Stegostoma tigrinum: one gene and its partner. The protein of the gene in region 1 binds, or shares a complex with, the protein of each later gene. Links are inferred from orthologs where the notes say so. Each region holds a gene or a part of one and is shown on either strand. Other genes may lie near its edges.

Region 1 (6,707 bases):
CAAGCTGTGGTGAATCAAAGAGGAGGGTGAGGATATGGCCAGATTGAGGTCAGGATGCTAATAGAGCTCAGTACAACAGGGCCATAAGAAAGTAGACTCTAGCACAGCAAAAACAGTTTTGATGGTAGGGTCTAGCTAATATTATTGTAAAGAATAATGTTAACATTGAATTCAAGGTCAATCTTGAGAACCAAAGAAAACACCATTTAGATCATAAACTGTCCTATTAATATTCTAAAATAACTTAAAAGGAGGTGGAAGATCAAATACTACTATTGTTTATTTTACCTGTACATACAGCCTCAATTCTTTGCAGCTTTACTTGGATAGGCACATGGATAATAGTAAAATGAAGGTTAGTTTGATTTCAGTAGGATAATAGGTCAGCACAACATCATGGGCCAAAGGGCCTGTACTGTCCTATGTTCTATATTCAAACATAGAACATAGAACACCAAGATACTTGCTCTGCCTGTGGAGGACAAGAGGAGCTCGGCACAATTCCCAGGGGCTGCACTGCAGCCAAAGAGAAACCTGACTGATGTTCCATTTTCTCCAGCCAGGAATACTAAGGTAGCCACTTTTACCTTGAGATTAACAAGGATAAAAGCAGAAATCAACAACTGCAGTGTTGCTTCACAAGGATTTGTTTGCATTGGATTTAATTCAAAAATGTTAAACAATATTGTGTATGGATGCCGACAAGTGAATTTAAGGAAACATACAAATGCAAGTTAGTTTAATCAATATTAACCTAAAATCACAGTACCAAAGCTATGGAAACTACAGAAAGAAGAACGAACACCACCCCTAATTCTGTCACTGCAAACCTCAAGCCATATTTCTGGGTGAGTCCATTTCGCAGTAAAGAATTATTTGTCCTTTCAGGTCAGATGAGGAGAAATTGAGCATCATGCAACTTGGGAACTCTACTTCTGAATATAGCATAGATAGGGTTATTTATTAGTTTTATAAGGCAGAAGATAGATTCTTGTCAAGCAAGGGACTAAAAAGGTTATCAGGGAGGGGAATGAGCAGTAAAAACAAATAGATGAGGTATAATCATAGTAGCAGATCAGGGTTGAAAGACTTAATATACTATGTAAGGGCAAAGCATTTCTAATCACAATGTCTGTTCCATGTATTGAAACTGTTCTGATGTACCTCAAAAAGTGAAGTATAACACATTAAGAGTTTGTGTCTATTGGGCTGTCATTTTCAATAATAAGTATTTTGCTCTCAGGTCACATACCTGACAACGGTTGCCTGTTGTCAATATTAAGATTGGTACCATTGTATTGGTACACACAAATGGAACACTGTTTGGAGACCAGTTGAACTTTACTACAATTTAAGTCAAAATGTTTTGTAAGGCACTGCACAAATTTTTTTTTTTGAAAACAGGAAACACGTATAATGACAGAGATAAAGCTCTGAATAAGGGTCTAGGCCCAAAACGTCAGCTTTTGTGCTCCTGAGATGCTGCTTGGCCTGCTGTGTTCATCCAGCTTCACACTATTATCTTACACTTCTAATGACAAGCAATTTTAGTGTTCTACAATACACTGACTTTTGTTTAGAAAATAATCCCATGCTGCAAATTTAAACAACACCTAAAACAAGAAATTTACAACTTGCATTTGTATACAGCAGGATCGGATTATTGTAAAATGGGGGTTGGGGGTGGGAATGGTCTAACTTAGGGCCCTATTGCCTGAATTCACAGGGGTTTATTTTAAGAGAAAAGTCTATTCCTTTTTCCAATTCCTGAACAAGATATGTAGAATTGCAAAAACCAGACAATCCTCCAGCATAACAAACCAGTGTCTAACGCATGAAAAGGCAAGTCCTTCTGGTCCTTAAGGAGACACCAACATACTTGCTCTGCCTGTGGAGGACAAGGGGAGCTCGGCACAGCGCCCCAGAGGCTGCGCCGCAGCCAAAGGAAGGAAGACCTGACTGATGTTCCTTTTTCTACAGCTAGGAATACTGAGGTAGCCACTTGTACCTTCAGATTAGCTTAGATAAAAACGGAAAATAAATCGAGGACTTTTCAGAGCACCACCGTGTATTTAACCACGTAGTAGTTCTGAAACTTTTAAAATCCAAAGACGGAACTTTTTTTTTAAAATAAAAGCAAAGTATGCCAACCATTAATTGAACGCTGCAAAAGCAATTATTTGGCAGGCTATTTTGTTCACATTAGCCAAATATAACAGCATGAAGGAAATCAAATTAATACGCATCATTTCACCGCGAACGTCACCACGACGAGAATTACTCGAGCTGTCCTGGTGGACTCCATTCCCGATTCACAAGAACTGTCATTTTTGAAGGCTTGCCTCTCGTTGACCAAAATAATGATTTGCGAAATTACTACTACTTTAGAATCTAAAACAAATCCAAACGTTTTAAAAAGGAACCCCACCACACCATAGTTGTCAAGGTCATTGCTCTCAAGTGAAATTTTACAGAGAATAATTAGCTCAAACTTGAAACAATTAACAGCAAGATTTCGTTTTATTTTCCTCTCTACAACACAGAGCGACTCGCATTCAAACAGCTAAGATTGACAGGTAGCTAACAGAAGTAGTGGACACAGGATGTTTAAATCCATCACAGCACGATTTAAAATTCACGTAAATCAGTTGCGAGCTCTACGCCAGAAAAATGGTTTTAAATAGAAATCTAAGCTGCACCGCGAAAGCTTTACGGCTCCTCAAACACAAGGGTTCTCTGCTAAGGTATGATTTTCGCCACTTTTAGAAGCCCAGGTCCTTACACCTCTCTCAAAACACAACAATTCTGCATTCTTGTCATTGTTACTCACTCAAATCCGAAAAACAACGCGCTGGTTCCTACGATGAGGAAGACGGTAAGGTAAAAAACTCCTTTCTGTCGAGCCATCATGATCCTACCATCGCAACAGAACGTGTTTCTCCCTGGCAGCTTCTGCCATTTCCGCGTTGGCTTTTTCTCGCTCTTCATGGCTTTGTAATTCCTTTCGATAACTCTTTACAATGAAAAATCTCTTTTAAAAAAACTCAATCAAATATAATAATGCCTTCTTTTTATTAAAAAAAGTTTCAGATCGATGTCAGTATATAATACAGCAGACCGCTCTTTCCCTTTGTTCCCCGGGTATGCGGTCCTCAGTTCCCCTCCTGTTCCTTCCTTTCCTGCCTCTACCAGCTCCTATATTCAAGCAAATTCAGCACTACCTCTCTATTCGCTGCTCCATCTCAGAGACTCAGCCAGAGCTCCGTCAGCCACGCCCTTCCCCAGCTCCACTTTGTAAGACTGCTTGTGCGCGCCCCCGCTCACCTGCTGGTTCCCGTGGGCGTGCGCGCGCCTCCAGCTTGAAGCGACCCATTCATTCGCACCATTCTTAGCCGACAGACAGACAGGCTGTTGTGAGTCACTGCCACACCGTGTTTAACCAGGTCGACAGTGGATGGGACCAGAACAGAGATTTATATTTGCAAAAATTACTAGTCGATGATCGAGGCCATTTTTGGGATTGAAATTTTTTTACATAGGTTCAGTGGAAGTGTTAAATCTCTTAAAATCAGTGTCTGAATTCGAGATCACAAAAATTGCACCAAGTAATTTCCTATCCCCCAAAAAACCTAATGATGCTTAAATACTCCAGCTGTTAGTGGCAATGACAGATCTTTGATTCAACATGGAAATCTGTCAAATAGGCTGTTCTTATCCTTGTGAAAACAGTATCTCTCTGTCTAGATAAACATCGAGCTACGTTGAGCTACATTGAATGGTATTTGCGCAGTAGACACTCGCCACAGAAAGTTAAAGCTGCTCTCCAGTGATGTAAGGAGCCTGCTTTTTTGTGATGCTATTTCAGGGTTGCATATCTAATTAAGGCTGGAACAGCCATCAGAATTTTTTTTAACAATACGCTTGTTGACGACAGTCAATTAACTACTTTGGCATTGTAGAGCTTCATTTCTTGGGATTTTAATTGTTGAATATTTTAAATGTCAAATATAAACGTCTTTTTAAAGTTTTAATCTTTTTTTCTCACAATCCAATCTTTATTTTTCTCCATTCTTATGGTTTCATACTAAATATGTTTTGTGGACTTGAATTTGAAGGATATCTGGATTTTGTTTAAAGAGATCATGAAAAGACAACAGAACATATTTCTTAGTAGTCATGGCCTTGTAATAACTACTTGTTAACTAAAGAGCATTTCCCTGGTTTCGACTTATAGATTTCAGTTTCCGCATTAGATATATATTGCTTGTGGCATTTGGTGATTAGCTACGCTAGTTTTCCTGTTACTGTAAAAATATTAAAGTGAATCTAGTGTGAAACTGAATTGTTCATTTGTTAAACTAAGAATCTGATTGACATTTTACGTTGAAAATAAACGATGTCTGTACAATATAAACAGCCAGTTTCAGCTTCAATCATGGAACCAAAGATGGCAAGACAGGTTAAGTTTAGAATTATTTTTGTACGAGGAGAAGTTCTTCATATGCAGGAACTATCGTTAACCTGGTTATCAACTGGATCAGCCAATGTTAGCCACGCTTAATCCAACTGGGGGGATCAAGCTCACTCCGTTAAAAACCTACAGTTCATTATCATGATTTAAATAAGGCCAATGAATTAAGATTATTTTTTCGACCCTTACCATTGCTGTGGCCAGAACATTGACCCAGCTTGCTATGTAATTTTCAATGCCAGGATTACCACACTTTCCAAAACTAATAAAGTTGCAGTTTTCTTGAAACCATGGGGAAACACTTTGGTGATTGAGATTTGTTAATTGCAGACTCAGTGGGATTTGAACTTCATCCTACAATTTTCCACAAACAAAGATCCTAATCTCTACCATGCTATGCAGTAAATGCCAGCGATCAAATTATTTGAGTATTCATATGGTTTCTTAGACTAGTTGCTTTCTTTGGAACAACATTTTTATAGTCACAATAGTCATGAATCATCAACTCAAGCAGTATTTGATCATCTTGGACTTTTACCCCACAATGTCAGTTAATATAGCACCTCTGGAGAAAAAGTACTCTAATCTGAATGTTGGGTTTAGCTTAATTGATTTTCAACATATCCTCTAGCTGCACACTGTGTCTGATTTAAATAATTTGCATACATGTAAGTTAACCATTTTTCATAGCATTTTAAAAGAACAGGATGATATGTCCTTTCAATTTCAAAAATATAAGATCATGATATTGTCTAGAGTCATATGCAAGTTATTAGTAGTTAACACAAATTCTGAGCAAAGATTCCATGCAGTAGTTACAGTGTTCTTAACACTTGCAAGAGAACAAAATACTGTTAGAGCAACTTCCAAAAAGACAAACAGAAGATTGTGAGTAGTTGCAGCCGTTTTCTTTCTATTCAGAGACACTTTGAAAAATCTAAATATAGATGAAGAAAGGAAAATAAATCAATGTGTTTTAGTCTATAAGAAAATTCTCTCCAATTCCCATTTATACAAGGTATATATACCAAAAAAGTGGACCTGTGCTCACATTGTAGCGTAATTAAACTATAAGACAAACTTGAGTAGTGCTGAAAAATGACACATTTTGTTAAGGCTTTTCATCTTGATACTTTTCAGGATATTTTGCAAAAATTGATATTCAATTGGAGAACAAGCATTAATAGGAGAGGACCAACTGTTGATAAGTTGACTCTGATGTTAGAGCCCTTACTGTGGACAACAAACCCATTAACACTACTAATAGTTAATAGCATGGCTCTGATTAAATTTCAAATCAGACAGGCTGATTCTGATTGGACATGGAATTGCCATGAGAAATGAGCTAGTGAATGGCTGTTGCCAAATCTATGGAGGTGCAATAATACAGAGCACGTCCATGTTCTCCCTTTCTGCAAAGTATTGAGCCGCATCAATTAATAAAGGTTCCAGTTCACACAAATGCTCCACACTGCAAGCTTGACTGACAATCTTAATTTTCTGCCCCTTCATTTTCTGCTTAGACGTTTTACATCCTTCAGACCTCAACACCGAGTTCAACAACTTATGACCATGAACTCTGTCCTCCCTTTAGATCACCAAACTTCCCCCAGTGCTTGTTTGCATTGGTTTAGTCTCAGCAGAGCTGATCTATTTTCTGTTATAAGCACCTCCTGTTAACATATGCTTCTCCTCTACTACCACTTAGCATCTCCTTTCGCCTTTTGCTCTCAGCACCGTTAACATTTGTTCCACTTGCTCCTCTATCCCCCTTTTTCAACAGCATAAAATCTATCACTTTTCCAGTTCCCTTTATTTCTGAAGAAAGTTAATTCTGTTTCTCTCTCCACAAAGTCTGCCAGACACGCTGAGTTTCTCCAGCACTTCCTTTTTTATTTCATTTCTCCAGCAGCTGCAATATTTTCCTTCTAATGAATATCCTTTTCTTAGTTGTACAATAAATATTTAGTGTACAAAGTATGTAATGAGATAGGGAACTGAGAGGCCCTGATATAATGCAAATTGAGCATCAATCATCAAGTTATTGCTGAGGAAGTGCTGATCAATAGCACTGCCAAGAATACCCTCCATCACTTGCTAATGATAAAAGAGTAGACTTGATGACGTAAAAATTAGCCCTGTTGGATTTAGCTTGCTTTTTGTAGACAGGGTATTCCTGGGCATTTTTCCATGTTGTTGCTTAGTTACCAACATTGTAAATTACTTTGAACAAGTT
Region 2 (6,707 bases), on another chromosome or scaffold:
AGGAAGGATGTGGAAGCACTGGAGAAGGCACAGAGGAGATTTAGCAGGATGTTGCCTGGTCTGGAGCACAGGCCCTATGAAGAAAGGCTGACAGACTTGGGTCTGTTCTCATTGGAGAGAAGGAGGCTAAGAGGGGATTTAATAGAGACATACAAGATGATCAGAGGATTAGATAGGGTGGACAGTGAGAGCTTTTTTCCAAGGATGATGACTTCAGCTTGTGCAAGGGGAGCATAGCTACAAATTGAGGGGTGATAGATTTGACAGATGTCAGAGGCAGGTTCTTTACTCAGAGTGGTAAGGGCGTGGAACACTCTGCCTGCCAAAGTAGTTAACTCAGCCACATTAGGGGCATTTAAACAGTCCTTGGATAAGCATATGGATAATGATGGGATCGTGTAGGGGGAGGGGCTTAGATCAGTTCACAGATCGGCGCAACATCGAGGGCCGAAGGGCCTGTTGTGCGCTATATTGTTCTATTTTCTACCTCACTTAACTTCCAATCTGCACCTTGCACCCATATAACAGGGGGAAAATAACAAGAACTACCACTAAAACTTAAGCACCATGTCAATTCAGAGAAATGCCACATTCTTGCACATTTGCCACATTTTCAGTAAAAGGTTGCAGCAGTGAATCAGCAAAAAAAAAAGCGTTGACAGAGATAATGGGAACTGCAGATGCTGGAGAATCCGAGATAACAAAGCGTGGAGGTGGATGAACACAGCAGGCCAAGCAGCATCTTAGGAGCACACAAGCTGATGTTTCAGGCCTAGATCCTTCATCAGAAAAGGAGGATGGGGAGAGTGTTCTGAAATAAATAGGGAGAGGGGGAGGCAGATCAAAGATGGATAGAGAAGATAGGTGGAGACAAGACAGACAAGTTAAAGTGGGGGGGGGAGATGGAGCCTGTAGAGTTGAGTATAGGTGTGGGAGGGGATAGGTCAATCCCGGGAGGACGGACTAGTCAAGGGGTCAGGATGAGGTTAGGAGGTAGGGATGGAGGTGCAGCTTCAAGTGGGAGGTGGGGATAGGTGGGAGAAAGAACAGGTTGGGGGGGGGCAGGGACGAGCAGGGCTGGTTTTGGGATGCAGTGGGGGAAGGGGAGATTTTGAAGCTAGTGAAATTCACATTGGTACCACTGGGCTGCAGGGTTCCCAAGCGGAACAGGAGTTGCTGTTCCTGCAACCTTCGGGTGGCATCATTGTGGCACTGCAAGAGTCCCAGGATGGGCATGTCATCTAAGGAATAGGAGGGAGAGTTGAAATGGTTCACAAGTGGGAGCTGCAGTTGTTTATTGCAAACTGAGTGTAGGTGTTCTGCAAAGCAATCCCCAAGCCTCCGCATGGTTTCCCCGATGTAGAGGTAGCCACAATGGGTACAGCGGATGCAGTATACCACATTGGCAGCTGTGCAGGTGAACATCTGCTTGATGTGGAAAGTCTTCTTGGGGCCTAGGATGGGGGTGAGGGAGGAGGAGTGGGGGCAAGTGTAGCACTTCCTGTGGTTGCAGGAGAAAGTGCCAGGTGTGGTGGGGTTGGAGGGGAGTGTGAAGCGGACAAGGGAGTCACGGAGAGAGTGGTTTTCACTAGCTTCAAAATCTCCCCTCCTGCCAGTGCATCCCAAAACCAGCCCAGCACGTCCCTGCCTCCCTAACCCGTTCTTCCTCTCACCTATCCCCTCATCCCACCTCAAGTTGCACCTCCATTTCTTATCTACTAACCTCATCTCGCCCCCTTGACTTGTCCATCCTCCCCGGAATGACCTATCCCCTCCCTACCTGCACTCACCTCTACAGGCTCCACCCCTGCCCCTTTAACTTGTCTGTCTCCTCCCCACCCATCTTCTACTCTGTCCATCTTCGATCCACCTCCCCATCTCTCCCTATTGATTTCAGAACCCTCTCCCCATCCCCCTTTTCTGATTAAGGGTCTAGGCCCGAAACGTCAGCTTGTGTGCTCCTAAGATGCTGCTTGGCCTGCTGTGTTCATTGAGCTCCACACTGTTACCTCTGTAAAGCAAACAAGTTTTCTTTCCCTAAATAAAATGCTCTGAATTAACTATCAGCATCTGGAATCCACTGTGGCCATTGACTGCTAAATGAAGTGTAACCTCAAATCTGATTAATATGTGGAAAACATCATCTACTTTTCCTTTAGGTGCTCCTATTTTTAAAAAGTAAATTCTTGTGATATGACACTCATTCAGCGACATCCTGATAAATACATACAAAACAAGGATGTTACAAATGGGGGGGGCGGGGGGGGGAGAAGGGAGAGAATGAAAGAGGCTGTCAGAAAGTCACTAGATGAGGGATGCAGGCTCCAGGTGAAAACTCTAGAGACGGAGTTTCAAATATCACCATGACAAATGGAGGAATTTGCCTTCAATTTTAAAAACAAAATAAAAAGATCTAGTGTTGAAAACTAGGCTGAGGATTGATGACAAATCAAACATCAAGTATCATTGAAACCCACCCCATTCACAAATGTCACTCAGCATACTAATCTGCCAATCTCACTAAATGTGGTGTGATAATCCCATACCCACAGCAATGTTGTGATCAGAGATAATGGGAACTGCAGATACTGAAGAATCCAAGATAACAAAGTGTGAAGCTGGATGAACACAGCAGGCCAAGCAGCATCTCAGGAGCACAGTGCTCCTGAGATGCCGCTTGGCCTGCTATGTTCATCCAGCTTCACACTTTGCTATCCCACAGCAATGTTGTTGTTTCTGAGCTGCTTTCTGAATGGCCCAGCAAGCCACTCAGTTCAAGAACAATTAGGGGCCAACAACAAATGCTCACCACGAAGAAACACAAAAAGAAGAAGACTTGAGCTTCATTCATGCAACTCCACAGCCGATGAAGGGCTTTCGAAGTGAAGTTATTGCCATGAAATAAGGCCAGCCAATTTACACACAGCAGGCTTCCAAGGTCAGCCATAGGATAACAAACAGCTTGTTTACTTTCAAGGAATACTGTCTGAGAAACAAATATTGGCTAGCTTTCTGGGGACAGCACTCTCTGCTTCTTGAACAAAAATGAGACCAAGGAGTCTGTATATTCACTGGAAAGGGGCAGACCTCTGCCGTACGTCGGGGTTGAATGCTCAAATTGTGATGACTGATTCGATTGGAAACGCACGGCCCTTTCCACAACATCTTCCCCTCAGGAACCCCAACCCTATATCAAATTTTCCCTTCACCCCACCAACCATTCCCCCTTCTTCCACATCCAATCTGGTCCTTTCTCTTAAACCATACCCTCTTCCCCTTCGTCATCCCAACCCCAGAAACCCACTTCGCTCAAACATTCCCCTCCCCGACCCTCCACCACACCCTTTCCCAAAACCCCTTGGAATAAATCGGTGAATCAAGTAAACTGTTACTTCCACGACAGACAGATGAGACACAAATAAACAAAGCGCTTCCTGAAGGGTGCTGGGGCTGGGAGAGTAGAGGCGGACCGGTTTCCGGGAGGCACCAGAGGAGTCGCCAGCCTCCGAGCAGACACAAAATTCGCGGCCACCGCCCATCCCCCAAAGAACCCCTTCTCGGGTTCGGCGAGAGCCACTTTCACCAGCCCCCAGCTCTCAAACCACCCGCCCACAGAATCCGAGAAACCTTTCCACCGAACCACCTCCTCCTACCTCCGCCATCTTGAGCCGCCGCCTGCTTCCGGGTTACTGGCTCCCACGATCCGAGTTCCGCCTGGAACAAAAGGTTCCCCCCCCTCTCAGAGCTTACAGCCTAGTACTACACATGTTTCTTCTGCATTGTTTGATCCTTCATATCATAAACCTCTTCAATGAGCTGGTCATCCTCGTAGTGTCAGTTTATTTTATTTTACATTTTGCATAAGTCGGCAAAATAGTCTGGAAGATGGTTATAACAAAACCCTAAAAAACCTGTGCAGCCCATTTAGAAAATCATAAACCCCATCTTCTTGCAGATTATACCATTGACATTGTTCTCACTTTTTCCTTCAGATTGGTACAAATTGTTCAAACACGTTCACATTCACACGCTTTCCTACACGAGTGGAGGCATACATTTGAATTTTTCTCAGCAGCCCTGAAACAGACCATTAACCCCGACTACCCAGAGGGAACCACTCATGAAAAAAAGTTGCACATTGAGGGGAAACGCTTATTTGTGAAACTGCTTGTTGATGTCTCATCAATATTCAATTTTCTATCTTCTCAAATACACTATATAAGCAAGAGATTGAGAAAATCTGACATGAAAATCAGTATGGGTACCTGGTAGATTTTTCCCTCTGCTTGCTCCGAAGAGGCTCCGGGTTGTTTACATTGGAGTATTAAAAAAAAGTAGCCCATTTGACCCTGGAGCCTTGCTCCGACATTTAATATGATCATTGCTGATTATTCAGGCCAACACCCTAATCCCATGCTTGCCGCTACCATATTCTTTTTGCCACAACAGTTATAGCTACCTCCTTCTTGCAAACATATAGTGTTTTGACATAAACCACTTTCTGTAGTCGTAACTTCCACAGGCTTAACACGCTCATAGTGAAGAAATTTCTCCTCATCTCAATCCTAAAAGGTTTATTCCCTATCCTGTAACTATCAACCCTGGTTCTGGACATTCCCCAAATTGGGGTACATCCCTCCTTCATCTAACCCGTCTTGTCCAATGCTACAGCCAATCTGTATCTCAGGGCATGATCCACGGGCACCATCCACACCCAAACCTTACCCACAACCATATTGGCATCTCACTCTCTGAGACACTGGCAGGCCACACACTTCCATTGCAGGGAGCACTGAAAACTAGCCTTGCAAATCTGCAACAGGAAATTTTTGCGCACAGACAGGCACACAGCTCAACAGTTGGACCAGGCTGCATCTCAGGACTGCTTGCTTGCTCTGAAAGTGTTCCCTTACTTAGCGTCTACCTGCACGCTTGCACCACTATCCCTTTCATTACCTCGTCATGCCACGCTTATTAGACTGCTGGGTGGTCAGCCAGAGCCAAAGGCTGTCAGGACAGCCATACTGAGGTATTCTTGAGCACAGACATGCACACACGCGTGCCTACACACACACACACACACACACACACACACACACACACACACACACACACACACACACAGTTTGTCACATTTAGCAGTCAGAAACTGTCCAGTGAGCCAGGGAGTGGGGGATCTTAGTGAATGGTAAACCAAGAAAACTACAGCTTTCACCAGCTGCAAGCATAGCATTCATATGACACATTTATTTGACCATATGATCCTCAGTTCAGTCAAAGGGGGGGGGGTCACTGTCGGTCAGTCAGTTACTTTAGGGATACAGTCTGCACACACTCAAGGGGCTTGGCCATGGTCAGTCAGCTGCTTGGGACACTCGCAGTCAGGGAATCTGCCCCAGTGTAGTTAGGGAGTGGGTAGCGGTCAGTCCTGCAGTGCCAACACAAGCTGTCAGCATTAATTGCAGACTGTTAGTCAGGGAGCTGCAAGGACTGCACTCAAGAGCCTGGTCAGTCAAAGACCAGGGACTGTTAGTTAAAGTTGGTCAGAGGCCTGAAGCAAATGAAGCCCACGGAGTTCATTCATTCACCATTTGGGAAATCCAAGGGGGCCCTGTTCTGGAAGGGAAGGAATCACTGCCAACAGGAGTGGAGGAATCAAGGCTAGTTTGGGAAAGCAGAGGCACTTACAGTGGTGTGGATGAGGTTGTGATGGGAAGAAACATGAGATGAATCGTAGGGGAGCTGGGAACAGTAAGACATGGCAAGGGAAGATAGCAATAATGGCATCACAAAATGCTAACGCTGCTTGAAGGGAAACTGTGCAAATTCCAAGGGCTCTGCATAATACACAAAATATTGCTTCATCATATGCCATGTAAGTGTAACAATGGTCTGCACTGAACAGTGAAGGTTGAACGTCTGGGATGGAGAGGGGGAGGGTGTCAGAAAATCATAGATTCCCTACAGTGCAGAAAGAGGCCATTCAGGCCAATGGGTCTGCAGTAATCCTCCAAAGAACATTCTGGGGGACAAGGCTTACCCACAGAGACCATGAGTCATGACACCATTGCACACTGCCCTGACTGATGTGGAGAGTTGGTATGGTGCTGCTCATGTGCTAACCATGACCCTTGATGCAGCAGAGCTTTGAACTGTTGAAGATGTGACTCTACTGCTCGGACCAGTCTTGGTTGGTGGTTGTAGGTGGACCCTGCGATAGAGTCAGGGCAGAATGTGTCCTCATCATCCTGGCTCCGTGCTGTCCTCTGGACAACTGCAGCTGACAATAAGACCATGTACTGTGTGCAAATAGACTGGGCAAATGGGGTGCAAAGGTCTGTTTTAGCATCCGTAGTGTCAAACACTACCCATGATATTCACTCATAGACTCAGAGAATCCCTGTAGAGTGTAAGCTGACCATTTGGCCCATTGAGTCCACAATGACTCTCTGAAGAGCAGCCCACTTAGACTTACCCTGCTACCTAATCCTCAATCCTGCATTTCCCTTGGCTAGTCCAACTAGCCAGTGCATTCCTGGACAGTTTGAGGCAATTCAGCATGGCCAATCGACCTAGCGCGCATATATCTTCTCCTCTATCCATCTTCAGTCCGCCTCCCCCTCTCTCCCTATTTATTTCAGAACCCTCTCCCCATCCCCCATTTCAGATGAAGGGTCTAGGCCCGAAACATCAGCTATGGTGCTCCG

The links. Proteins that work in one complex are often made in the same cells at the same time.
Region 2: the proteins of zdhhc9 (region 1) and golga7 are in contact, whole or in part, in a cryo-EM structure (PDB 8HF3), measured with the Homo sapiens proteins. The link is inferred for Stegostoma tigrinum from reciprocal best matches to the Homo sapiens genes ZDHHC9 and GOLGA7. Residues at the interface, in NP_001008223.1 of Homo sapiens: Phe78, Ala81, Arg85, Ile94, Pro95, Leu98, Asp100, Glu101, Phe104, Ile105, Phe129, Gln130, Ile131, Asn132, Ile146, Pro149, Pro150, Arg182, Tyr183, Leu186, Tyr274, Lys281, Cys284, Glu285, Leu287, Cys288, Gly289, Pro290, Leu291, Pro292; in NP_001002296.1 of Homo sapiens: Lys11, Phe13, Gln15, Tyr18, Ser19, Ser20, Gly21, Thr22, Ala57, Glu58, Leu60, Ser64, Tyr65, Gly68, Cys72, Ala75, Tyr76, Thr77, Phe79, Leu80, Tyr86, Glu87, Leu90, Ile116, Arg118, Gly119, Arg121, Val122.

Annotation. Positions count from the first base shown.
Region 1 is NC_081368.1:45,031,398-45,038,104, forward strand, and holds the start of zdhhc9 (palmitoyltransferase ZDHHC9), read right to left. Parts: upstream 3,286-6,707; 5' UTR 2,989-3,285; coding exon 2,831-2,988; intron 1-2,830. UniProt on the Homo sapiens protein: Palmitoyltransferase that catalyzes the addition of palmitate onto various protein substrates, such as ADRB2, GSDMD, HRAS, NRAS and CGAS. The ZDHHC9-GOLGA7 complex is a palmitoyltransferase specific for HRAS and NRAS.
Region 2 is NC_081393.1:13,284,411-13,291,117, reverse strand, and holds the start of golga7 (golgin subfamily A member 7), read right to left. Parts: upstream 3,751-6,707; 5' UTR 3,663-3,750; coding exon 3,654-3,662; intron 1-3,653. UniProt on the Homo sapiens protein: May be involved in protein transport from Golgi to cell surface. The ZDHHC9-GOLGA7 complex is a palmitoyltransferase specific for HRAS and NRAS.